Rhinolophus ferrumequinum: one gene and its partners. The protein of the gene in region 2 purifies or fractionates together with the protein of the main gene of each other region. This does not show direct contact. Links are inferred from orthologs where the notes say so. Each region holds a gene or a part of one and is shown on either strand. Other genes may lie near its edges.

The links.
Region 1: the proteins of BOD1L1 (region 2) and CXXC1 purify together in Homo sapiens (affinity purification with mass spectrometry; 5 studies listed by BioGRID and IntAct, counting the BioPlex papers as one, with this or other methods). This does not show direct contact. The link is inferred for Rhinolophus ferrumequinum from reciprocal best matches to the Homo sapiens genes BOD1L1 and CXXC1.
Region 3: the proteins of BOD1L1 (region 2) and SETD1A purify together in Homo sapiens (affinity purification with mass spectrometry; 3 studies listed by BioGRID and IntAct, with this or other methods). This does not show direct contact. The link is inferred for Rhinolophus ferrumequinum from reciprocal best matches to the Homo sapiens genes BOD1L1 and SETD1A.

What each region holds. Positions count from the first base shown.
Region 1 is NC_046302.1:41,097,533-41,105,707, reverse strand, and holds the start of CXXC1 (CXXC-type zinc finger protein 1), read left to right. Parts: upstream 1-4,992; 5' UTR 4,993-5,214; coding exon 5,215-5,217; intron 5,218-6,066; coding exon 6,067-6,185; intron 6,186-6,286; coding exon 6,287-6,387; intron 6,388-6,668; coding exon 6,669-6,904; intron 6,905-6,995; coding exon 6,996-7,175; intron 7,176-7,589; coding exon 7,590-7,613; intron 7,614-7,689; coding exon 7,690-7,935; intron 7,936-8,100; coding exon 8,101-8,175. UniProt on the Homo sapiens protein: Transcriptional activator that exhibits a unique DNA binding specificity for CpG unmethylated motifs with a preference for CpGG.
Region 2 is NC_046288.1:80,190,133-80,197,517, forward strand, and holds the start of BOD1L1 (biorientation of chromosomes in cell division protein 1-like 1), read left to right. Parts: upstream 1-4,242; 5' UTR 4,243-4,358; coding exon 4,359-4,592; intron 4,593-7,385. UniProt on the Homo sapiens protein: Component of the fork protection machinery required to protect stalled/damaged replication forks from uncontrolled DNA2-dependent resection.
Region 3 is NW_022680357.1:380,795-388,082, reverse strand, and holds the start of SETD1A (histone-lysine N-methyltransferase SETD1A), read left to right. Parts: upstream 1-4,151; 5' UTR 4,152-4,819; intron 4,820-4,864; exon of another isoform or gene 4,865-4,985; intron 4,986-5,079; exon of another isoform or gene 5,080-5,236; intron 5,237-5,562; 5' UTR 5,563-5,577; coding exon 5,578-5,727; intron 5,728-5,943; coding exon 5,944-6,039; intron 6,040-7,288. Other genes in the region: ORAI3 (protein orai-3), read left to right, coding at 1,165-1,821. UniProt on the Homo sapiens protein: Histone methyltransferase that catalyzes methyl group transfer from S-adenosyl-L-methionine to the epsilon-amino group of 'Lys-4' of histone H3 (H3K4) via a non-processive mechanism.

The DNA of each region.
Region 1 (8,175 bases), on a different chromosome or scaffold from region 2:
CCGAACAAAATTCTAGGGAGAACCAGCCTTTACGTGCATATCTCCAGACAAGCCAAATGTGGTAAATATCCCTATAAGACTCCTTCATGCCCCAAAGGAAACTCAGGCAACCCCCCAAAGATTCTTAGTCACCCAAGAATACCAGAGCAAAAGCCAGTGAAAGCTTACTGGACGTAACCAGAACTGTGGCACTTTTCCAGGCACACACCCCTTTCTTGGGGTGAATCCACTCCAGAGTGCCCTGCCCTTCTCCCCGTGTGGCTCCCACTGGTTTCTCTGGGATATGCTGTATTACCACACTGGACTGTTTGTGGCAACTATCTCTGCTACTCTGAAACAACTATCATCACCCCATTTGCTGCGGCCCGCAGCGGCCAGGAGGGCTCAGCCTGAGGGGGAAGGGCGAGGAGACGTGGAGACAGGAAAGCTGGGATCGGGAGGTCCACCATCCACGGATGGTGGAGCAGTGGCGCAGTCTTTATTTCACACACGGTTTATATACAGTCTTAGAACAATTGTCTACACAAGCAACTATTAGCAGAACAAGCAGGTATCAGTAGAACATTCTGTTTTGTGTATTGGCAAGTTTGTGTGTCTGTGGCTGCATTAGTGTTATCTTGTACTTTCTGGGAAGATGTTGAGGCAAGGCTTCCCATGGGAGTGACCTTGAGGCTGCAAGGCCCTTGTCAGCTTACAGCCTGCCCCCTACACCCATTGGCTAGGGAAGGTTAGGGAAGAAAATGTCCTTTCTTTTTTGGAGCTAAAGAGAATTTAGTCTCGGGCGGCTGGTTGGCTCAGTTGGTTAGAGTGCAGTGCTCATAACACCAAGGTCAGCGGTTTGAGTCCCACATGGGCCAGTGAGCTGTGCCCTCCACAACTAGATTGAAAACGACGACTTGACATGGAGTTGATGGGTCCTGGAAAAACACACTGTTCCCCAATATTACCCAATTTAAAAAAAAAGTTCAGTCTCTCATTTAACCAGCAAAGATTCTGTTCAGACTCTCAGTAAGTAATCCAATTAAAAAGCTGAAATTAAAAGCCGCCCCCCATTATTTCTTCTTTCCCTGGGTTGTCTTGACCCTTATCCACTTCAAAGATTTTCAAAGAACAATTCAAATTAAGTCAGGATCCGCTACCTAAAGCAAGGAGGCCCAGGATTCCAAGAGAAAACTCACTCAAGTTCACTGGAGGTGAAGAGGGGAGCCGATGGGCCTTTGCTTGTACCTCGCACTGGGCCTGAGTCAACAGGGTGGTCCTGGGGACCACCTGCTTCAAAATCCTGCCGACTGCTCCAAGTAACTGTCAACGTAAGAAACATCCAAACCTGTAAAGAATTTTTATAAGAATTTATTTAAGCCAAACTGATAATTGCCAGGAAGCAAAATCTCTAATGCTTTGGAGAGTAACAGTTTTGCAGTTTCTTTTATGCATTTGAATTAAAGAGGCAACATGAGGAGATTACATGAAGGCAGGAAAAAGCAAGTTGGGGATAGGATTACAGGATAGTTAAGATTATGTGCTCTCTTGAAGGTGGCTAAGCTTATTTCAAAGATGTGTTAACCTAGATGTACAAAAACAATGGACAGGGCTTGCTTAAGACAAATCTTTTACTAAAGAAGTTATATGACTGGGGTGTGACTACCCATCAGGACCTGCCCAGTTAGGAATTTGTGATCAGATCTCCCTGTGGGATTACTTTCTGTAGGACCCCTTTTTGTCCACAATGTCAATCAATCAACAATATCCAACAGTACTTCATTAATACTAATCTTTGTGCTATAGAAAATAAGTTCTCAAAGTGTTGTCTGTGGACCCCTTGGGATACCTGAGATATTCTCAGGTGGGTTGCAAGGTCAAACCTTTTCATAATATTAGGACTTTTTTTCTTTCTCACCACATTAATATTTGTACCAAAAGCGGTAAAATCAATGGTTGTTAAAACTGCAGGCACATTAGCACATATCTAGGCAGTTGCTCTAAACTGCACTAGTATTAACCACATTGCTTACCACACACACACAATATCCAGTCCCATTTAAGAATATCTTTGATGAAGCAATAAAATTAGCAAAAAAATTGCTAATTTTATTAAATCTCAACCCTTGAAATGACATCTTTTTTTTTTCCCAGGTGGGAACCACAAGTTTATTGGGGGCTCTATGCACGCGCACTGAAGGCGTCACACGACAATTGCTATCTTTCCAGTTGTGAAAGAATTCTCGAGGCACATAGAAATGCAGAAAGAAGATTTATTGAAGTAAAAAAGGAGGAAGAGTCAGCTGGGCAGAGTCTAGAGTAGACAGCTGCAGCAGGGGTTTTATATTTTTCTAGCAGGATGTAGGGTTTTATATTTTTCTATGCAGTCTGCAGGGATTTTATATTTTTCTATGCAGGATGTAGGGTGTCTGTCAGCTTGCAGTGGGTTGCCGTTGTAATTGTCTTCTGGGAACTGTTCTGTTCCCATCTATGATAGATGTAAGTTGCTTGTCAGCTTGCAGGATAGTGCCGTTACAGTTGGCTTCCCTTGGGAATCATTCTCTTTCCACAGCTAGCCTCCAGGGGATTCAGAGCCCAGTGGTTAATTTTTAAGCTCATTCCTGCTAACTCACAAGCTCGTTCCTGTTAACTCTTTACCTGTCTCATCATGGAAATTGGTTTGTTTGGCATCTCGGACAGTGATCACGGTTTGCACCTCCTCGATCAACTTCTGTTTCTCATCATCATCAAACTGCATGTACCATTTGGCCAGGCATATCTTGCCTGCCCTGTTCTGGATGAGGATGAAGCAGATTGTGATCACTCGGATTCAGAGCCCAGCTGCCCTGATCCCGAGGCGACTGAGCAGCTCCCAATACATCTATCATTTTAATATTACGTGTGATGAAATGAGCAGCATGAAGCACTACTGCATACCACAGTGGAAGGGTTGTTTTGAGGAAAAGTACTTCTATGATGGTTTGAGTTGTGAGCTGAACTAACCACTTTTTTTCATGGAACATCATTTTTATCTGAAAGAACAAGTTATTTAGATTTGTTATTTTGGCAGACATTTAAAAAAATATGAACCAAGAGAGACCATCACTTCAAATAAAACAATTGATGGTATTTGTTACCAATGATAAAATTAGAACTTTCATACACATGATCATTGCCAACAATATGCACAACTGCCCGATTCAGCTATGCATGGTCAAGTGGTAATAGCACATTTGAGTCTCCCACCCTGCTCTTATTTGCCACTGATAGCAAATAAGGTAGTAGCACAATTTCCCAGAGGTATGCATGGGAGGATAAAAGAAGAGCTAGGAAGGTTAATAATGTGCTTTGGATCTTAGAGCCAGTTAGGGTCTCTTAATACCTTCCCCAAACAATAGGTTGAATATTCTATCAAATTGGAGGTTCGCTTCTTGGAATTGGCACATTACTATGTATTTTACTATGAGCTTTACTGGAAGCAGAGTTTTGATCGCTCATTTATCTAGTTTCTCTTTTAAAAGTCCATTCCACTCAAATCAATAATCTAGAGTTCCAACGTAAATAAAAGGGAAGCAAATTAAACCCAAAGCAGAAGGAAGTCATAGTAAAGATTAAAGTGGACATTAATGAAATAGGGATGAGAAAAACAATGAAACAAAGAATTAATCCTTGGAAAATATTAAAAACCTCTTTTAAGAAGAGAAGGTCACAGAACCTATGTAGTGGCCCCTTTGTCTATGTGTCTGTGACACTGTGGAGAGGACAATGAAGAAAAATGTTAGGAAAGGTGGGGGTAAAAAATCGGACCTCCTAAGCCACTAGCAGCAGAATCCTCAGTAGCAAATAAGTTGCTACTACCTCCAGAGCCAAGAAATCCAGAAAAACTGTCAGCAAATGGTAAAAAATCCCATTTTCTCCAGACTCTTCTTCTCAATCCAAAATGAAGTCCTGACTTTGAATGTGGACGTTTACTATGACGGTGATTCCCGCTCTAGTGTGTTTGGGGGGTGATGTTTGGAGGGAGAGGAATATGGTTATAAGTGGGGAATATATAATGACCCAGACATGTTGTATTTCATTTAACCTTCACTGTCCTCCAGTTTAGAGCATTACTCTGAGGAGACGTCTAGCTCTCTGACCTGCACAGATTTTCTTTATTGTACACGATTTAAATTTTAAAAAGTTAATTTACCTTTATTGAAGCGACTGTTGGAGAGGTATGAAATGAGAACCAAAGTGGACACCACCAGGAACCAGGCAAATCTACATTCTGACAGTGGCGGGGTGAGGGGATGATTTGGTGAAGCCGTTTGTCTCTGATTTCAAAATCTGCTTCGGTCCGGCTACTTCTCACCAAAGATGGTCAGGCCACCATCGTTTATGGCCTTCCATTTTACTCGGGACTAATTCTGCGGGGTGAGAGTGCTCTTGCAACGGTCCAGCGACTGAACCGTGCAAGGGCTGGTTAAGGAACTGCAAGGAACACGAGCAGGAAAGAGTGGCGGGAAGTGACGTGGAAAACCTAATAGTGGGATTGCTTTCCTTCGCAGCGCAAGACATTGTGCCGGAGCCCCATTAACACATGCGGAAAGGAAAAGTGATTAAATGGCGAAACGAGTGCGACTGGATCCAAGTAGTGTTATTAGGAGCGGCCGCTTTCCCTGTGAACTTCTCTGCAGTGTGAACTTCTCTGCAGTAGAAGGTACAGGCGTACGGAATCGACCTTCAAGATAGCGGCGCCCGGTGAAAGCCACGAATAGGTCGCTGCCATGTGCTGCCTGGGAACGTACGGACTCGGCCATCTTACGGAATCACATTCCAAGATGATGGCGTCTGCATAGAAGTCGTTCAGTAGGCGCGGCCATATTGCCTCCAACTTTGAGACCGTACAAGCGGTCACCGTACGGACTCGCCCAACAAGGTGGCGGCGCCCACAAGTAAGCGCGCTCAGGCACGGCCATGTTTCCTGCGAAACGTATGGACTCGGCCGCCAAACGGCCTCGGTAGTCAAAATGGCGGCGCCTAGGAGACAGTCCGGGCTCTAGGCTGGCGACCACTTGTTTGTTTATGGAGCCGATGCGCTGGGCCTGCGCAATAGGAGTACGGTGCCCGGGAGGCGCAATCAGAAGCGGAAGTAGTTGTGGGCACCTTTGCAACCGCCGCGGACACCGTAGAGTGGTGTAGGTTCGCGGGTCGCTGGCGGGGACCGCGAAGGAGTGCGCAGAGAGTCGAGAGATGGTGAGTACGGGGTCCCGGGAGAGGGTTGGCGGTAGAGGTTAGTGGGTTTGGTAATGGTGGGGTCCTTCGGCAGACGCGTGGGGGGTCTGTGGTGAACCGTAACTGGAGTCTGGGCAGAATTGAGGGGGCCTGTGGAGAGCCTTAACAGGGTTCTCTGGGAGGAATGATGACTGTCGGATGGTCTGATGGTTTTTCTGATACGTGAGCCATGTGGGAATTTTGTGATGAGCCATTGTGGGTGTCCGTAATAGAAGTTTAGTGAGGAACCCTGATGGTAGTTCCTTGGGAGTCCGAATGGGGGATTCTTTGGGCAGAGTGATAAAGAGTTTGCGATGAGCCATGTTAGGTAGTCTGTAGTGCACCGTGGTGACTCTGTATCAAGGAGTCCATGGGGAACCAGGATGGGGGCGAGGGTGACTGTGGGGTTAATAACGCGGGATGTGTGGGGAGCTGTGATGCGAAGGCTGTAGCTGAATTACGAGATGTTTGTGAGAACGCGTTGTGGGCCGGGTCTGTGAGGAGCCACAGTGGGGGCAGTGTGTGGCGAGCGGTAGGGTGTTTGTAACGAGCTTTTATGAATGTGTGGCTAGGATGATGGGGTGTCAGCGAGGTAAGTATGGGAGGTCTGGGGCTGAGCAATGGGGGTTTATAAGCAGAGTAATGGGGTGTCAGGGGTGATTGATGTGGGGGTCTGTGGGGACCATGACGGAGGGATTTATGAGGCGCCAAGATGGGAATTCTGTTGGCAGAGTGTTGGGGTCTATGGTGAGCCCTGGTGAAATTATAATGGAGGGAGAAGATGCTATGATGGGGGTCCTCTAAGAAGCCATAATTGGGGGGATCCCACAGGAGGGTGACGGTTCAGATCCAGAGCCTCCAGATGCTGGAGAGGACAGCAAGTCGGAGAATGGGGAGAATGCACCCATCTACTGCATCTGCCGCAAACCAGACATCAACTGCTTCATGATGTGAGCCAGGGAGAGGTGGGCGGGACTGACAGCTGGCAAGGTTGGGTGAGGCCGATGGGTCCCGCCCCTCACATCTGCACCACTCGCCTCATCCTCTGCAGTGGGTGTGACAACTGCAATGAGTGGTTCCATGGGGACTGCATCCGGATCACTGAGAAGATGGCCAAGGCCATCCGGGAATGGTACTGTCGGGAGTGCCGAGGTGAGGGGCGCGTGGAATGGACTGGGTAAGCAGGTGGGGCTTTGAGGGAGGAGAAGGAGCCATAATGGGAGGCTGGGTCTCAGGGAATAGTGATACGTGTCTGTGGGCAGAGTGATTGTTCTGTAGTGAGCAATAATAGAGAGTCACACTGGAGGGGGCAGCTGTACTCTGGAGTAGGGGGACAGACCATTGGGTGGGACAGGAAAGAAGAGGGAAAAAGAGTTCTGGGATAACCCAAATCCCCAATGTCAGCCTCCCCGGCCTCATCCTCTGTTCTACAGAGAAAGACCCCAAGCTGGAGATCCGCTATCGGCACAAGAAGTCACGGGAACGGGACAGCAATGAGCGAGACGGCAGTGAGCCCCGGGATGAGGGTGGAGGGCGCAAGAGGCCTGCCCCGGATCCAGACCTGCAGCGCCGGGCGGGGTCAGGGACAGGGGTTGGGGCCATGCTTGCTCGGGGCTCTGCTTCGCCCCACAAATCCTCTCCACAGCCCTTGGTGGCCACACCCAGCCAGGTGAGTGGCTGTGGTGGCAGGGATAAGTAAGGTGATCCCATCTCAGGCCCAACTTGGGTTCCTGACTTGTGTTCTGGGCCCCTTCCTTCAGCATCACCAGCAGCAGCAGCAGCAGATCAAACGGTCAGCCCGCATGTGTGGCGAGTGCGAGGCCTGCCGACGTACTGAAGACTGTGGCCACTGTGACTTCTGCCGGGACATGAAGAAGTTTGGGGGCCCCAACAAGATCCGGCAGAAGTGCCGGCTGCGTCAGTGCCAGCTTCGGGCCCGGGTGAGCATGGGCAGAGCTGGGCAGGGTCAGGTTAGGGGGCCAGTGTGTTCAGGAAGAGCTCATTGAGCCTAGGATGGGTGGGCTAGGTGGGGTGGGGCCTAACTGCATAGAGACAGGTGGAAAGGAGCCAGGCTTGTCCAGGTGAATGGGGCTTGGCCAGGTGTGCTGGGCTAGCAGGGGAGACCCCCAAACCCAGGAAGTCAGGGTAGGGCCAGATGTTTCTAGGTCGTCAGACATGTCAGAGCAGGAGGAACATGGCTCAGCATGTCCTAGTGATGAGGGGTGGGGGGGCAGGTGTGCCTGGGTAGGCAAGGTAGGGGCTGGTTGGGGGGGCCAGGCACTTGTGGGAAAGGCTAGGGCAGGGCCACCCTCCATCCACCTGGGGCTGACCTGGGCCTTCTCCTGCCGGCACAGGAATCGTACAAGTACTTCCCTTCGGTGAGTCCAGCCCCCAGGGCGGGGCGGGGCATGCGGGCAGGTTATTCAGGGCCAGTCCTGAGATTCTGCCCTGCAGCTCTCGCCAGTGACGCCCTCAGAGTCCCTGCCAAGGCCTCGCCGGCCACTGCCCACCCAGCAGCAGCCACAGCCATCACAGAAGCTGGGACGCATCCGTGAAGACGAGGGGTCAGTGGCGTCATCCGCGGTCAAGGAGCCACCTGAGGCTACGGCCACACCTGAGCCACTCTCAGATGAGGACCTACCACTGGACCCTGACCTCTACCAGGACTTCTGTGCGGGAGCCTTTGATGACCACGGCCTGGTGAGCAGGCAGAGCCACCCAGGGTGGAAGGGGGGAGGTTACAGAAGCAGAGTATCCATAATGAGGAGAGAGGAGGCAGATGGTATGGAAGGCTATTTGGGAACTGAGTAGGTGGTGGGGAAGTCATGAGTGGGGCAGGTGGGTCACTGTATGCTTCACTTGCAGCCCTGGATGAGTGACACAGAAGAGTCCCCATTCCTGGACCCTGCGCTGCGGAAGAGGGCAGTGAAAGTGAAGCAT
Region 2 (7,385 bases):
GAAAGACAGAAGTTCTCAAATATAGGCTGCCCAACTTCAGAGTCTCACAACCCCACCTTTGCTGCCTCCTTTCAGTTCAAGAAGGCAAACGTTTTCTCTAAAGGGCCACACAGTAAATACTCTCAGCGTTGCAAGCTATACAGTCTGTCCCAACTCTGTCCTTGCAGCAAAAGCAGCCATAGACTGACTGGAAACTAAACAAACCCAATAAATGTGTCTATGTTCCAATAAAACTTTATTTATTAAAAATAGGTAAAGCAGATTAGGCCTGGAGGGTGCAGTTTAGTCTAGTCCAATGTTTTCCAAATGGTGATCCATCAGCATTTGTTAAAAATCTGAAGTCTCAGGCCCTGCCCCACACCTGCCAGTCAGAAACTTGAGGATGGGGCCAGCACTGTTTTAACAAGCCCTCTGGGAGAGTCCGCTGCGTGCTCAAGTTTGGGAACCACTGCTAGCCTTCCTGATTGCCCACATTGGACTCTCCTATTATATAAAGTATGAACTACGACGGTAATTGATATGTCCCACTTCATTAGAAAGCCTTCCTCACCCATCTTCTTCCCCCGTCATGCTCTCTCTCCTGCTCTGGAGTTCCTGCTCTAATATCCTGGGGGCTTATGCAACCCAGTCCTAGTACTCTGTTGCCATTTCTGCTACCTTGCTGCCCCAAACCCAGCTTCCGCGTCCCACCAGCTAAGTCTCGGCTGCCCTCTCGAATTCCGCAGCACCTCCAGGTAACATGCTCGCACAGCTACCACTTCCAAAGCACCCCTACTCTTGGGCACTGGCAGGGATGAGGGGGCTTCCAGTCTCTGCCAAATGCTACAGAACCAACCCTCTCCCTCTCCACCCTACCATTTCCCTGTGCTACCCTCATCCCCATGTCCTGACCCCAGAATGAGTGACAATTCTTTCAAGTTCTTGCAGGGGAAAAAAAGCAATCCCTTTCCCACATTAATATTCTATAATGGTCTGCCCAACCACCAACTCCACCGTCTTCGGCTATTTTATTCTACAGTAGAAATAGAAAAGCTGAGACCATGAAGTTTGCTTTGGAAAGGTAATAACACATTTTGTCCTCTCCCCTTCCTCTTACAGTGCTTTGAACCCCACCTAAGAGTGTGTTTTGTTATAGAAGAGTGAACTTCCAAAGTTTAACTGGGCTTTGGATTGATGAAGAGTCCTTTAGAAAATGATACTCGTCAGTCTTGATTATGAAAGGCTGGGCCTATGGCCTGGTTTGGCTAGGGATGCCCTGGAGTGGGAGGTCTTGGAATGTGAGGGAAAGGAAACAAACAAGTGTGCCTAACACGCAGATGGGATCTCTGGGGTTAGGAGAGCATCATACTGTAAACCAATGTTTGACTTTCACTGGATTAGCCGTCAGGAACAGGGTTTGGATTGGATGGGGGGTGGGGGGGCTGGACTGTAGAAAAAAAAGGAAATCACAGGAGCCAGATACTTGGCAGGAATCTGTTGCCCAAGGATACAAATGGCTACCACAGTGATTGCCATAATTACTCACCACTGTTCCACTCATTCCCAAAGTGTTCGTAAAGTTTGTTTAACTGTCACCTTAGCATCAGATTTAGGAAATAAAATGAGAGCTTGATCACATTCAGGAAGAAGGTATTTGATCCTTGTTAGGATGTTCTGAAGTCAGACATACATACAGTCGGGCAGGGGAGCAATGGTAATTGTTTTTGGAGAACTCATCTCTTCCATACCCTCACTATTGTCAATTATATTACTCTTTCTAAAGAAACAGAGAGAACAAAGCAAAGATGTCACTGGTAGGAAACGATGACTGCTTAATAGCTTTTTTTTTTTTAAGGTTTAAATGTATTCTATTCCCCCTGCCCAGGTATTCACAATACTCATCCTTAGTACCTGTCTTCAGGTATAAAGAAAAGCACCTTTGAACAGCCACAGCAGTAAAGATCGGTGACCCTGGTTCTTTTCAATGCAACCAGAGTGTTTTCTAAGGGTAGTAAATTGTTCAAGTTACACTATATCCAGTATATGTATACCCAGTGTAACTTGGACTCATAAACACAAATATGTCATTTCTTTTAGGTTGTTATTCAATAAGGCAGTTAAAGTACATTTTATAAAATAAATTGTGAATAAGTTATAATCAATTCTCACCTTATTACATTTTAGAAAATATTTACTATTTTCTGTATGCTGTTCACACACATAAAATTATTTTCCAGTCACTGAACCAATTAATTTTTAGCAGCAATACCTTATTGTTTCATTATTTTTTAAGTTTGATCATTACACCTAATTAAATTTGTGGAGTTTTGCTGAATTTTTATGGAAGATTCTTATTTAGTTATTCCCAAAAAGCCAAATCAGATACATCTATATGCACTGAAAAAATACCATGCTCTTTATACTACACTTAATAAATAACATACATTTAGCAAAATATTGTATTATGTTGTTGGTAATTAGGTAAAGGCAACATGTCATATTCTCACATTGTTTTCATAACTAATTTTTAAAATGAATAAAACAATTATATCTTACACCATTTTAATCTTGATTGCTTTAGTAATAAATCTTTTAAGATTCATTCCCTGACTTTGACTTTCTGCAGTTTTCATTATATTCCCTCAAAATGCATGATGCTTTATTTGAATTGAAACAAGGAAGTCAAACTGTTTCTGAGGGAAAATAATATCCAATTTGGCTAGTTTGATGATGAACACGCACTCTGTTAATTAGGTTATATGAAAAACATTTTTCATACTTGACAGTTTCACACTGAATGAGCTGCAAAGTTTTGGCAAAAACAAAAATGAACCAGCTAACAACAAAAAGCAATTTATCCAAAACTATTTATGAAAATCAAGAAAGAATGTTTAGATTCCCCCAAAGTGTGAGTATATCAGGTTTAACGTGGTACAGCTCATTGGGAAAAAAAAGTCTAAATCATAGTCATTTGATGTCTTGATAAAACCTATTTAGTATATTTCCCAGAAACTGAAAAAATGAAAGAATATGACTAGGTAAACAAATCCTTTGGCAAGTCAGATGGTTTTCAACTCTTCACTTTCAACAAAATTGGAGGGCCTAATTGAATAGCCAGCTCACAGATCATCAAATCTAATTTTTTGAGGTCAAGAATTGAGTGACATTGCTACGATAAAACTATATTGCCAGGTACAATACATGCTTATAAGCACAGGGTTTCTAGGGGCATTCAGCTATAAAAACTAGAAAGAGGAATAAACTGATGTACAACCCTTCTCCTTCTAGCAATAAGAAGACATACTCATCTACAGACATGAATTTTAAAAAGCAGTAATATCCACTTCACTGAGATGCATTTCCAATCAATTTTACATCTACTTAATAATTATGAAAATCTGTAACATTTATTTTGCTTTGATCGTGTACCAATAATGCTTTAAAGGTAACTCAGTCCAGAATCAGGTGATTTGCTTTCTGTGTAGCCTTCAGCAATTTACTTAATCTCTCCGGGCTTCAGTGTCCGGCTCTGCAAATTGGGGCTAGTAGCAGGACTTAGCAGTCTTGTTGCAAAGCCTGGATGAGTAAACGCATGTAAAAGGTCTTAACACCATGCCTGGCGCACAGTGCGTGCTATACAAGCACGGCCTATTATCACAGTAACCAACTGCAAAAGCCTTAGACCTAAAAGCCCGTGGGTTTGTCTGGGCCGGCGGGAAGGTGCTCGGACAGGGACAAGGGATGCGCCAAGGACAAATGGGGAAGAGACTGTGGGCCGTTGGAGCTACCTATTCGCAGGAACACCGTACAGGATCACAGGAGAACAAAGAGGGTTGGGAGAGTTTAGAACACGCAGTTTCACGTACGCATTATAAATGTCTATGGCTGTCGACTGCTCTGTGAAAGGAGCAACAGGCCTAAACGCCACTGACGATGGACCCGGGCCAGCGTGTCGCTGCCCCGCGCGGGCCGGCTCCGAGCCGGCGCCCAGGCGGCCCTCGGGCCCGGGGAGTCGCGCCGGTCGAACGCCCGACCGCGGTGCACTCCAGACGCCGGCCCCCGGCCCAGACCCCGCGAGCCACCGCCCGCTCGGCCTCCCCGCCGCCGCTCCCGACGCAACCCGGCCTCTCGAGGGCGCCCGCGCAGGCGGCAGGCGGAACTGGCCCCTCGCGGCTTCCGTCGTCGGACTTTCGTGGCTATTGTCGCCGCCTCTTCCTTCCTTCTTTCCCCCGGTTCCCTTTCACTTCCGGGGTTGCTCTGGATCCGCTGGTTCCGTAACAACATCCCGTTGGCCTCCCTCGGGCGGCGGGACCGGTGCAGCCGCCGCCTCCCAGGAGCGCCCGCCGGCCGGGCCCGCGCCCTTCCCGGCCCAGGCCGCCATGGCCACCAACCCGCAGCCGAAGCCGCCTCCGGCGCCGCCGCCTCCCCCGCCGCAGCCGCAGCCGCCGCCGCCGCCGCCGGGCCCCGGGGCTGGCCCGGGCGCGGGCGGGGCGGGCGGCACGGGGGCCGGCGCCGGGGACCCGCAGCTCGTGGCCATGATCGTGAACCACCTCAAGAGCCAGGGGCTCTTCGACCAGTTCCGCAGGGACTGCCTGGCCGACGTGGACACCAAGGTGCGGGGCGCGCGCGGGGTGCGGGGGTGCGGGGCGAGGGGAGGACGGCCCGGGCCGCCGCCTCCGGCAGTCTCCCGCGTCCGAGGAAGGGCCCGCTGCGCCGCGGCCTCCCCGGCCGGGGCCGCCCCTGAGCCGCCGCGTGCCCTCCGAGCTGCCGCTCTGTGCCGCGTGCGGGGTCGGCGCGGCGCGCGCCGGCGTTCCCCGTCCTTCCCCGCGGTGGCCGCCGAGTGCCCGGCCCCGCGGGCGCTGGGAGCGTCCGGGTGAGCAAGACCGAGCCGTTTGTTCTCACGGAGACGCGTCTGCACACACTTACCGGTGCGTTCACGTCTGGTTCTGGGTTTTTTTGTGTTTTTCCCCCCCGCGGTGTACTCTGTTTCCACGCTCCTCTCTTGAAGATTTCTGTGCGGTAAGCGTCATACCTTTGTCCTTTGGAGAATTATTAAGTGGTCATCGAATCAAAGTGTTCGCAGTGTGCGTTGCTGGATTGGGGGCGCGGGGGGGAGTCGTTGCAAAAGATAAGGAGGTAGAGTTGGACCGCGCGCGAGAAGGTGGGTTGGGGAGATCGGGACTTCTGTTTCTCCCAGTGACCGTCTGATTTAGGTAACTTAGACCAAGTCAGTTCTCTAAAGGGAGAAGGGAGTGGGGCGGGGGACAGAGAGCCGGAACCTAGCCATGCAGTGGGGAAAGGACGGAGGAGAGGTGACAGCAGATGACACAGTGGACGAAGGACAGGAAAAGAGGAGTTCAGGAGGGGAAAGAGGAAAGGACAAAGGTCTGCAAAGTGGTTCCCTGTACAAAAGAGTTAGGGGCTGGGAAAGAGGAGGGACTTAGCACCAAATGTCAGGGTAAAAGGGGTGTCAGCAGGAACCAGGTCACTCTAGCTGGTTGGGCAAAGGATGAGCAGAGGACACCAAAAAGGAGCAGTCTTGGTGAGATGGATGGAAAACCAATGGAGCCTGGAATTCTGGAAGCAAGTGAGGCAGGAAGCTTCAGTTGGAAACACTTGGGAAATTGTTGGGGCTTTTTGTTTGTTTGGGTTGGGGAGGTGCGTTGTTTTGGCTTAGATCTGGTTGGGTCCATTGGGTGGGAGTTTTGATGGGTGAGGGTTTTCTCATAGCATGTTTGACCGTTGTGAGGATCCTCGTTTCTTAGAGATTGGGATGTTTGCATTGTCCACCAGTTCTTCCCTGTGACTCTGTTCACCAGGCTTTGAGTGAACTGCGTAAAATTCTGCTGCGTCCTCTGGGAAAACCTCCATGAAAATCTAGGGACATGTTTCCTTATTAGGACTCACCCCCCACCCAGGTACACCAGAAGTACAATGGCCTTTTCAAAGCATTGGAGTTTTTGCACCAGAAAGAATTCAGTTTACTTGGGATATTTATCTCCACAGGAAGTATACAGTTTTCTCACTTTGTTTTAGGGAGTATGCACAGCCACGCTTTTTTGAAAATAATGCTGATTGCGTTTTTTTAATGGGAGAGGATTAGACATGGCCAGCTAAATGTTATCCAGATAAAGCTGGTTATTTGTATCCTGCAAGTACATGTTTCACTTTACTAGTCTCATGAATCTACGAGTCTGTGTGTTAATGTATATAAATTGAAAATTTATACAATTATAAGGCTCAGCTTTTGGGGAGGAGGGAACACAGTTTCTTTGACTGTGTAATGAAAACCAGGACCTTCTCTCAAGAAAAGTGCACATACGTATATTAAACATGCTGTTTTTATAATTCAGAAACGGTCGGCTGTCAGCAATTTGATGTGGATCAACCTAATGAATAGTTTCAGGGAACACAGAGTAAGGTCCCCTTTTTTAATGTTCGAAGCTAGAAGAGAAGTGAAATGATCACCCCCTCCCCAACAGAGTGGGACTCCTGGGTATGGTCTCATGTTCTCGCTCAATAAAAGTAAGTTTGAATGTCTCAAAAAACATCAAAGCCCAAGTTGTCTTTGATATGAGCTTAACGTTTCTATCAGTGTGATGCATGGGCCAGAGTAGAAATAAGAGTCCCTATTCGTGCAAAGAAGCATCACTTGAATGGAATCCTTGGGTCTCATCTGTTAAGAACACCTCAGAGTTTAGACTGCTTGTGTATGCCTTTGATATTGAACCCTGAAGACTGACCTGTGTTATGTAGTGTGTCGGGTTGTAGCGGGAACTGGATTGTCAGTCACATGCATAGTTAAGAATTAAGACATCTGACACCCACCAGACACTCTCCAAGAGCAGCACCGTCATCCTGCCCAGTGTGGTAAAGCAGAGTGAGAAGGACCAGAGTCTGCTGCCACTCCAGCAGACCATAGGACCCCTCAAAGTGCCCCGGGAGAGAGATCCAACGAGAGCAGACCAAATCAGCCCTTCTACCCATAGAATTGGAACCTGGGGCAGCCCCAGAATCTAACCAGTGCCGCAGGCTGCTGTGCTGCAGGCTCCCGTTCCCAGACCCCTGGAGCAAGCTGACAGGTTACAAAGCCATCCTGACCCCTTTGCACCAATTAGCACCTGGAGAGTGTGGGGAGGGAAGGTCGAGTGGCCCATCACTCTGTCCCAGGCAGGGAGCTCACCGAACAGGTAACTATGGCACCTCTGTCCCCAGGCAATAATTTTCTTTTTAGATTTGAAAGGAATATCAAAGACAGGAGTATACAAATTTATTCACCCAACAAATATTTATGATGTACCTGGCACTATTAGATGCCAGGAGTACAGCAGGGAACTAAAAGTTCCTGCTGTTACAGGGCTTACATCCCAGCCGAGCAAAACAGACAATAAATAATGCGTGACAGG
Region 3 (7,288 bases), on a different chromosome or scaffold from region 2:
CCGGAGCAATCTAATGGATCCCACAAGAACGAGGCTGGGGTAATATCCAGATTCTGGAATCCCGGTGGCCTGGGTTAGAATAACATACAAAAATAGTACTAAACTGTCACTAAGTATCAGGCTGGTAGTGCTTCTGTGTTTATCATCTTTCTATTATCGAATGAAGTAGGTACCGTTACTATGGCCATTTTACAGGTGAGAAAGCAGGATCAGAGATGTTAAGACACCTGCCCAGGGTCCCACAGCAAGTAAGTGGCAGTATTGGAACTTAAGCAGTCTGGTTCTAGAGTCCAAATTTATACAAGTTTAGAACAGGATCATCAAATGTTTGCAAGGGCCAGGCCTGTAATATGGATACCAAGTTGGCTGTGTGGGGCCTGAGGATATATGTGACCTGTCCCAAGGCAGCAGCTGTGACTCAACTCTAGCTGCTAGTGTCCACGCCGGAATATGGGCCTGGTGTAACCAGGTCTGTCAGATTTTCTGGAGGATCTGGAAATAGGAATATTTATATGAAATCTCTTGAGTTTTAAAAGTTGGCAACTTAATTCTTTAAGAAACACACTGGATGAGCCAAGAAAAACATGTCTGCAAGCTGGCTTGAATTCATAGCGTGCCAGTTTGCAAACTCTGGCCTTGCACTTCGGCACTGGCTCCAATAATCACCGAAACACCTAGTGCTGACTCGTGCCTTGCACTATTCTGATAACTTGATGTATATACCATCAGTCAGTTTTCACAACGACCCTGTAAGGCAGGTAGGTACTGGTATTAATCCCCATTTTCCAGAGGAGGAAACTGATGCACAGAGAGAGAACTAAGTCACTTGCTCAACACAACACCGCTTGTGGACCTGAGAAGGGACCCAGGCAGCCTAGCTCCAGAACCTGTGCTTTTTAACCCGTGTGTGGTAACGAGGTAAGATCGTCAGAAACATGTCACCCAGCCCTCTTGATAGCTCGGTGGGAGAACCCAGACCCAGAACAGGCCAGAGCCTTGCCAAGGCTGCCCCTTCAGGCACTCAACAAAGGCTGGGAGCCTTGTTTCCTCCCGCCAGCCACCATTCTAGGGCCTAAGGCCACGTAAGGGATATGCGCCAGCAGGCAGATCCCACTATGTGGAGAAGGTTACGAGCGCTGAGTCCGTGGTCTCTTGTCCCCACAGGTGGCCATGGTGGAGGTACAGCTGGAGAACAACTACCAATACCCGCCAGGCCTGCTGGTGGCCTTCAGTGCCTGCACCACTGTGCTGGTGGCGGTTCACCTCTTTGCCCTCATGGTCTCCACGTGTCTGCTGCCCCACATTGAAGCTGTCAGCAACATCCACAACCTCAACTCTGTCCACCAGTCTCCACACCAGCGACTCCACCGCTATGTGGAGCTGGCCTGGGGCTTCTCCACTGCCCTGGGCACCTTCCTCTTCCTTGCTGAAGTTGTCCTGGTGGGCTGGGTCAAGTTCGTGCCCATTGGGGCCCCCGTGGGCACGCCTGCCCCCGTGGTACCACCCTCCCACGTGCCTGGGACTCTGCCACCCGTGGCCACCTCCCTTAGTCCCGCTTCCAAGCCATCCTCTGCTCCTGTGACCCCGCCACAGGCTGAGACGTCTGAGGCCTGCCCACCCCGGCAGGTCTGTGGCGGCGGGGCCCATGGACCAGGCTGGCAAGCAGCCATGGCCTCCACAGCAATCATGGTACCCGTAGGGCTTGTGTTTGTGGCTTTTGCTCTGCATTTCTACCGCTCCCTGGTGGCACACAAGACAGACCGCCACATGCAGGAGCTAGAGGAGCTGAGTCGCCTGCAGGGGGAGCTGCAGGCTGTGTGAGGCTGGTATGGCCACCTCTACAAACACTGCCTCCCTCCGGGTTCAACCACAGATCCCAGGTCTGCCGACCGCTGCCCTGACTCTGCCTGGAGCCACTTCCTGAGGCCACTCTCAGGTAGAGACCAGATTCCTGCCAGCAGGGTCCTGTGGGCGGGGCCTTGGAGCAGCTCCCACATTCCAAGGGATTCTCCCTGTCAGCTTGCTCCATGGGCTTTGTAAGTTCTGCTCTATACTGGCTTGGAGGAGCGAGTGAAAAGTGCTCAGTCCAGGCTCCTGGGATAGGTGGAGGGGAGGCAGGGAGACCCTGGTCAGACCTTTGGTGCTGACCCTTAGCTACTTCTTGCCCCTATACAAGACGTAGCAGTCCGGTATAGGACACACCCTCCCAGCTGCCCAGAAGGCAGCAAACCCTGGCTTTTATTATTTTTGTAGAATCTATTTTGTGGTTACCATTTATTGGGAAGCTTTTTCCCATCCCCAGATTTTGATGGGTTCCACACTCTTGCTGTAGCTGCTGTAGAGAGGGGTTTGGGCGTTTCTGCCCTGGCATAGGTCCAGCCTCTCCTAGAAGGAGCCTCCCTGTTTTTGGAGGTTCAAGCGCCTGTCCAACTTCCCTAGACCCACACTGGATGCTTCTATAACTGGTTCTCACTCTTCTGTGCCAGGATTGGGGGTGGAGGGCACGGGGGTCTTTGGAGACCGAGGGCCTGTGAGCCCCAGACTGACTGCCTTATCAAGGGTTGGGGTGAGGTTTTAAAGGAGAAGGTCCAGCCCCTCCCGAGCCTTTGGTATCCTGACACTGAATTTTTGATGCACCTTGTTTTGTATAATAAATTGTATTTCACAGATGTCCCTGTGGCTCTGAGTGGGGTGAAGGGGAGGTCTCTTGGGATCGGGCGACTTGTTCCCAAAAGCCCAGCAGAGGCCAGTGTACCTGGGGGCGGGGCACGGCTGGGGGAGAGTGGGTTCCAGGTGTGAACCCTTCCTGGTGCTGACGGGCCGGTAGCTTCTGCAGGTGGAGACTGAGTTATTCCAAGGCAAAGGGCTTTGGCACGCTGGTTCCCGAGCCCAGGTGCTCTCTCTTCCACTGAGGATTTAGTATAAGTTTCTTTCTTGAGTGACTGCTACCTATGAGGAGCTTTTAGGTTATCTCCTTGAGACCTCACCTCCATCGCGAGACGTCTTTCTTGTTTCCATTTCCAAGGTAAGGACGCTGAGGCCCGAGACTCAGGCTTGTGCCCAGAGCCACACAGCCAGTCAGTGAAAACTAGGACTACTTTGACCCTCACATGGGGAATCTCTGATTTGAGAAAAGGAGCCCCTACCTTTCCACTGGGACAAGAAAAAGGGATATGATCTCATCACACGTGCTTCCACGTAAATGAATTGTTTCCAGCTTCGTTTCCCTCAAATATTTAAAGCGTCCCAATCCTCTCTCTTCCATTCTTAGGGTGTGAGGTCTTGAGAACAAGTCTCCTTTGCTCTTTTCCTGTTACTTAAAATGGTGAATTTGCATGCACCAGGCTTCTGGGGCTTTTCCTGTGCTGTTCTGATACCTGCGGTAGTCCTGCGTGACGGGGATTAATGTCCATTTCAGAGGAAGACTCTGAAGCTTTGAGAAGTCATACAGCAAGAGCTGTATATAGAGATGTCTGGGTCTTAGGGCAGAGGTGCCTCCTGGGAATGCCATTATCTGGAGACGGGACACCCTGCATCCAAGAGAGGGTGACCAGCGTCAGGGCGGGCTTAGCCCCGGATCCCCGGTGTAAGCTTGTGCTGGTGCTGCCCTCCAGCGGCGGGACCGCGTAAGCATAGGCACCCCCCCCACCACCACCACCGGCTGAAAACGGCGGGCACTGGGACCGTGATGCCTGGAGAGTCGACAAGCCCACCCTAGTTCCCGTAAAACCTAGTTTAATTCTTACAGGACCCACTTAAGGGCCTTTAGGTCGCACCAAGTTTACCACAGAACTTTAAGACAGCCTCGGATTTAAGCACCAACGGTGAGCCGAGCAGGGGAAAATGTGGCACCTTCTGCAGGCCTCAGTCTCCCCATCTGTCAAGTGGGCACGTTAAACTGCGAGAGGCCCAAGAGGGATAACGGGAGGAAACCGCTCCCTGCATTACGCGAGGCGCCAGGGAAACGGCCTGAGTCACCGCCGTTCGTTGTATTTTTTCACCTCCCGGGAGCCCCTCCCACCCCGCCCCGTTTCGGTGGGTCCTACAGGAAGCGCCCCCGCGACGCCGGCCTCGGTACGCTCTGACCACGCCCTCTGCGCACGACGCCTTGGCTCCGCCCACAGGAGAATTCGCAGATTCGCTAGGCCGGTTCCTCAGAATTACTCAGGCCTCTGGGCTCGACCGAAAATTCTCATGGGACTCGGAGAGGAGCTTTGGGCCGTATTTATCTCCCCCGGGTCGGAACTGGGCAGTTCCCCGAGCTGTGCTAGTGAGAAAGATCCATAAAAAGTGGCCGACTCTTGCCAACAGGGCTTGGCTAACCAGGCATTCTTTTCTTGACTCCACCAAGGCGGGGAAAGGGAGGAAACAGCTGGGGCCGGGACCTGTGGCGAATCTGCAGCCTCTTAGACTTTTGGCCGCGCAAGGAAGGGGCAGGCAAGAGGAGCGAAAGAGCGCGCGTCCCGTCCACCCATTCGCCCCGCCCGCCTGACGAATCTGCGCCCGTTCAACGCACCACTCCTCTCCCCGACTCGGGCTGGCCTCCTCCCCTCCGCCCCGCCCCCTTTTCCTCAGGGATTAGTCGCTGCTTTCGTCGCCGCCGATTCGTCAACGACCCCAGGCCCGAGCAGCTGGATAGCCGTGGAGAAACCCACTCTCCGGGGGATGCGGCCCGTCTCCAGGCTCCCTGGGCCGCAATTCTCGACCCTTACAGGGCGCCGGCCGAGGCGAAACCGCTATCCTCGGCACCGTGGGTCTCCCGGTGGCGCCCGTGGCGAAAGTGCGAATGTGGACACTGTGCCCGCTGGGCCTCGCGCAGGTGGCGGTGGTGTTTGGTGCGCGCGCCGGGGAGGTGGTGGTGGGGGGGCGCCGCCGCCGCCGCCACCGCTGCGGGGCCGGGTCTCGCGCTGCCGCCGCAGCCGCCGCCTCGCGCCACTAAGGTGCTGCGCGGGGTGGGGGGAGGGGGAGCCGCTCGACACGAGCGGGTGAGTGGGGCCGCGCCGCGCGTGCGCGGAGATGGGGGGGGCAGAAAGCGCCGGGGCGGGAGGAGAGGGCAGCGGCGCGCGTTCCTGCCACCTCCCTGCTCCGATTCGGGGCCGAAGCCGGGGCTCGGGCTCGGTCTCGCGGTGTTTCCAACGCCCCGAATAGGTGCCACCTCTTGGCTGGAGGATCGGGGCGCGGGGACGCGAGCGGGTGTGTGGGAGCGGGAGCCGGGCTTGGCCCGGGCCGCTGGCCGGTGAGGAGGCGGGAGGGGGCGGGGCCTGCCAGGGGGCGGGGGAGGGGTCTTGCGCCGAGGCCAAGTGGGGCGCGCGCTGGGGAGAGCCGGGGCGCGAGATGGGCCTGGGGTCCGCGAAGAGAGTTGGGAGGTGGAGAGAGAATGGGGTGTCGTGGCGAAAGTGTGCTTGGGGGGACATCGGGGGCCGCCACGGGTCATGGGGAGGTGGGGAAACTGGGGTGATGCGAGGACCCCGAGTCTGGGCTGGTCGGTGAGGGGCAGCAAGGGAGGCAAGCCTGAGACCTGACCCCGCGCCCCCCTCTTTGCGTGTCCCTCTGTCCTCACAGTGTAAATGAGCAAAGATGGATCAGGAAGGTGGGGGAGATGGGCAGAAGGCCCCGAGCTTCCAGTGGAGGAACTACAAGCTCATCGTGGATCCTGCCTTGGACCCTGCCCTGCGCAGGCCCTCGCAAAAGGTGTACCGCTACGATGGAGTCCACTTCAGTGTCAACGTGAGTGCCCCGGGCCGCTCCTTGCCAGCCGGGGAACTCGGCCCCACTCTCCGGTTAGCTCTGTGCAGCCCCCAGAACGTCTGTGCCCATAACCTGCTGGCTTAAAAAGTGGGTACCCAGCAGCCAGCTCTTGCAGAGGGGTCTCCGGAGGGGCTTCTTCGCGCTCCATAATGTGGTTTCACATCGTGTGCTTTCTATCCCTGCTTTCCTTTCTAGGACTCAAAGTATATACCGGTCGAAGACCTCCAAGACCCCCGTTGCCACGTCAGGTCCAAAAACAGAGACTTTTCCCTCCCAGTCCCTAAATTTAAGGTATGTGTCTGCTGGTGTCCTGGTGTGGTGGCCTTTGGAGGGGGTGGGGGTCCGTCCTCGCTGTCTGGCCGTACTGTAGCCAATAAAAGGGAGTTTTCCGATGAAAGGGTCTCAGCCAGGTCTAGCAGTGTCTGAAGCTGTGAGGGGATTGTTCTAGACAGGAGGTGTGGTTCACATTCTAGAAAGGTATAGGTGAGGGGTCCCAAGCAGGAGTGTCGACTTCTTGAAGGATATTATAAAGACAGGCTCAGTTGCTCTCCCTGTCACTCTGTATTCTAGACAGTGCACAGCTTGACAGTGCCCTGGTGTGATACCCCAGGTTCTCAACGGTTAAGGGGACTGTCAAGGCCAGGAACCCCATCCCTGGAGTCCTCTGTGCCTCACCCTTCATTTGGCCATTGGATCCTCCATCACGTTTCCTCAAAGATTCCCATTTTCCTGACCAGGCAGGATACTCCACAGGCTGGGCTTAGAAAACTGGTGGTTCTTAGTTTCCTTCACTAACTCTTTCTTCTTCTTCGTTTGTAAGTAAATCGTGTGTTGGGTTCTCTCACCCCTCTTTTTTTAAGTTCGTACACTTTGCCTGGACAATCTCTTTCACACCCATGAGTTTGACTATTGCTGAAATGTCCATGACTTCCAAATCTCGGTTTCCAGATGAGATCAGTCTCTAGAATTCCAGACATAGGTGCCTGGGAGTGGGACAGCTCCACCTGGAGGCCCCACGGCCGTCTCAGACTCGAAAGCAAATTCCCTTTCCCCCTTTAATCCTGCTCTCCCTTCCATCTACTCAGCTGCACAAGTTAGACACCCGGGAACCATTCTGTGATTCTCCTTTCATTTATCACATCATCTGTAACAAAGTTCTGCTGACTCTTTTTCCTAAACGTATATTTTTACCTTAATAATTCCACTTCATTGCTATTTCTGTAATGTAGACTCGTGTTCATTTCATTTCACCTGGTTTCCTTGCCTCCTTTCTCCATTTTATGCTCCGCTGTGCTGTCATTTTGTCTTTTTTATTTCACTATTCTCTGAGTTTACTCCGGTTGCCAAGTCTGTGTTCTTGCGTATTGATACATATGACTGACACACCTCCGCCTTTGCCACTGCGTACCTGTGTTCCATACACTTTGCAATTTCCAGGAAATGCTAAGTTATTTTCTACCCAGTGCCTTCTGAGTGCTTGTCCTGGTGGTGAACTCCTGCTTGTCCAAAACGCCCAGGATGAGTGACACCATCTCCATGC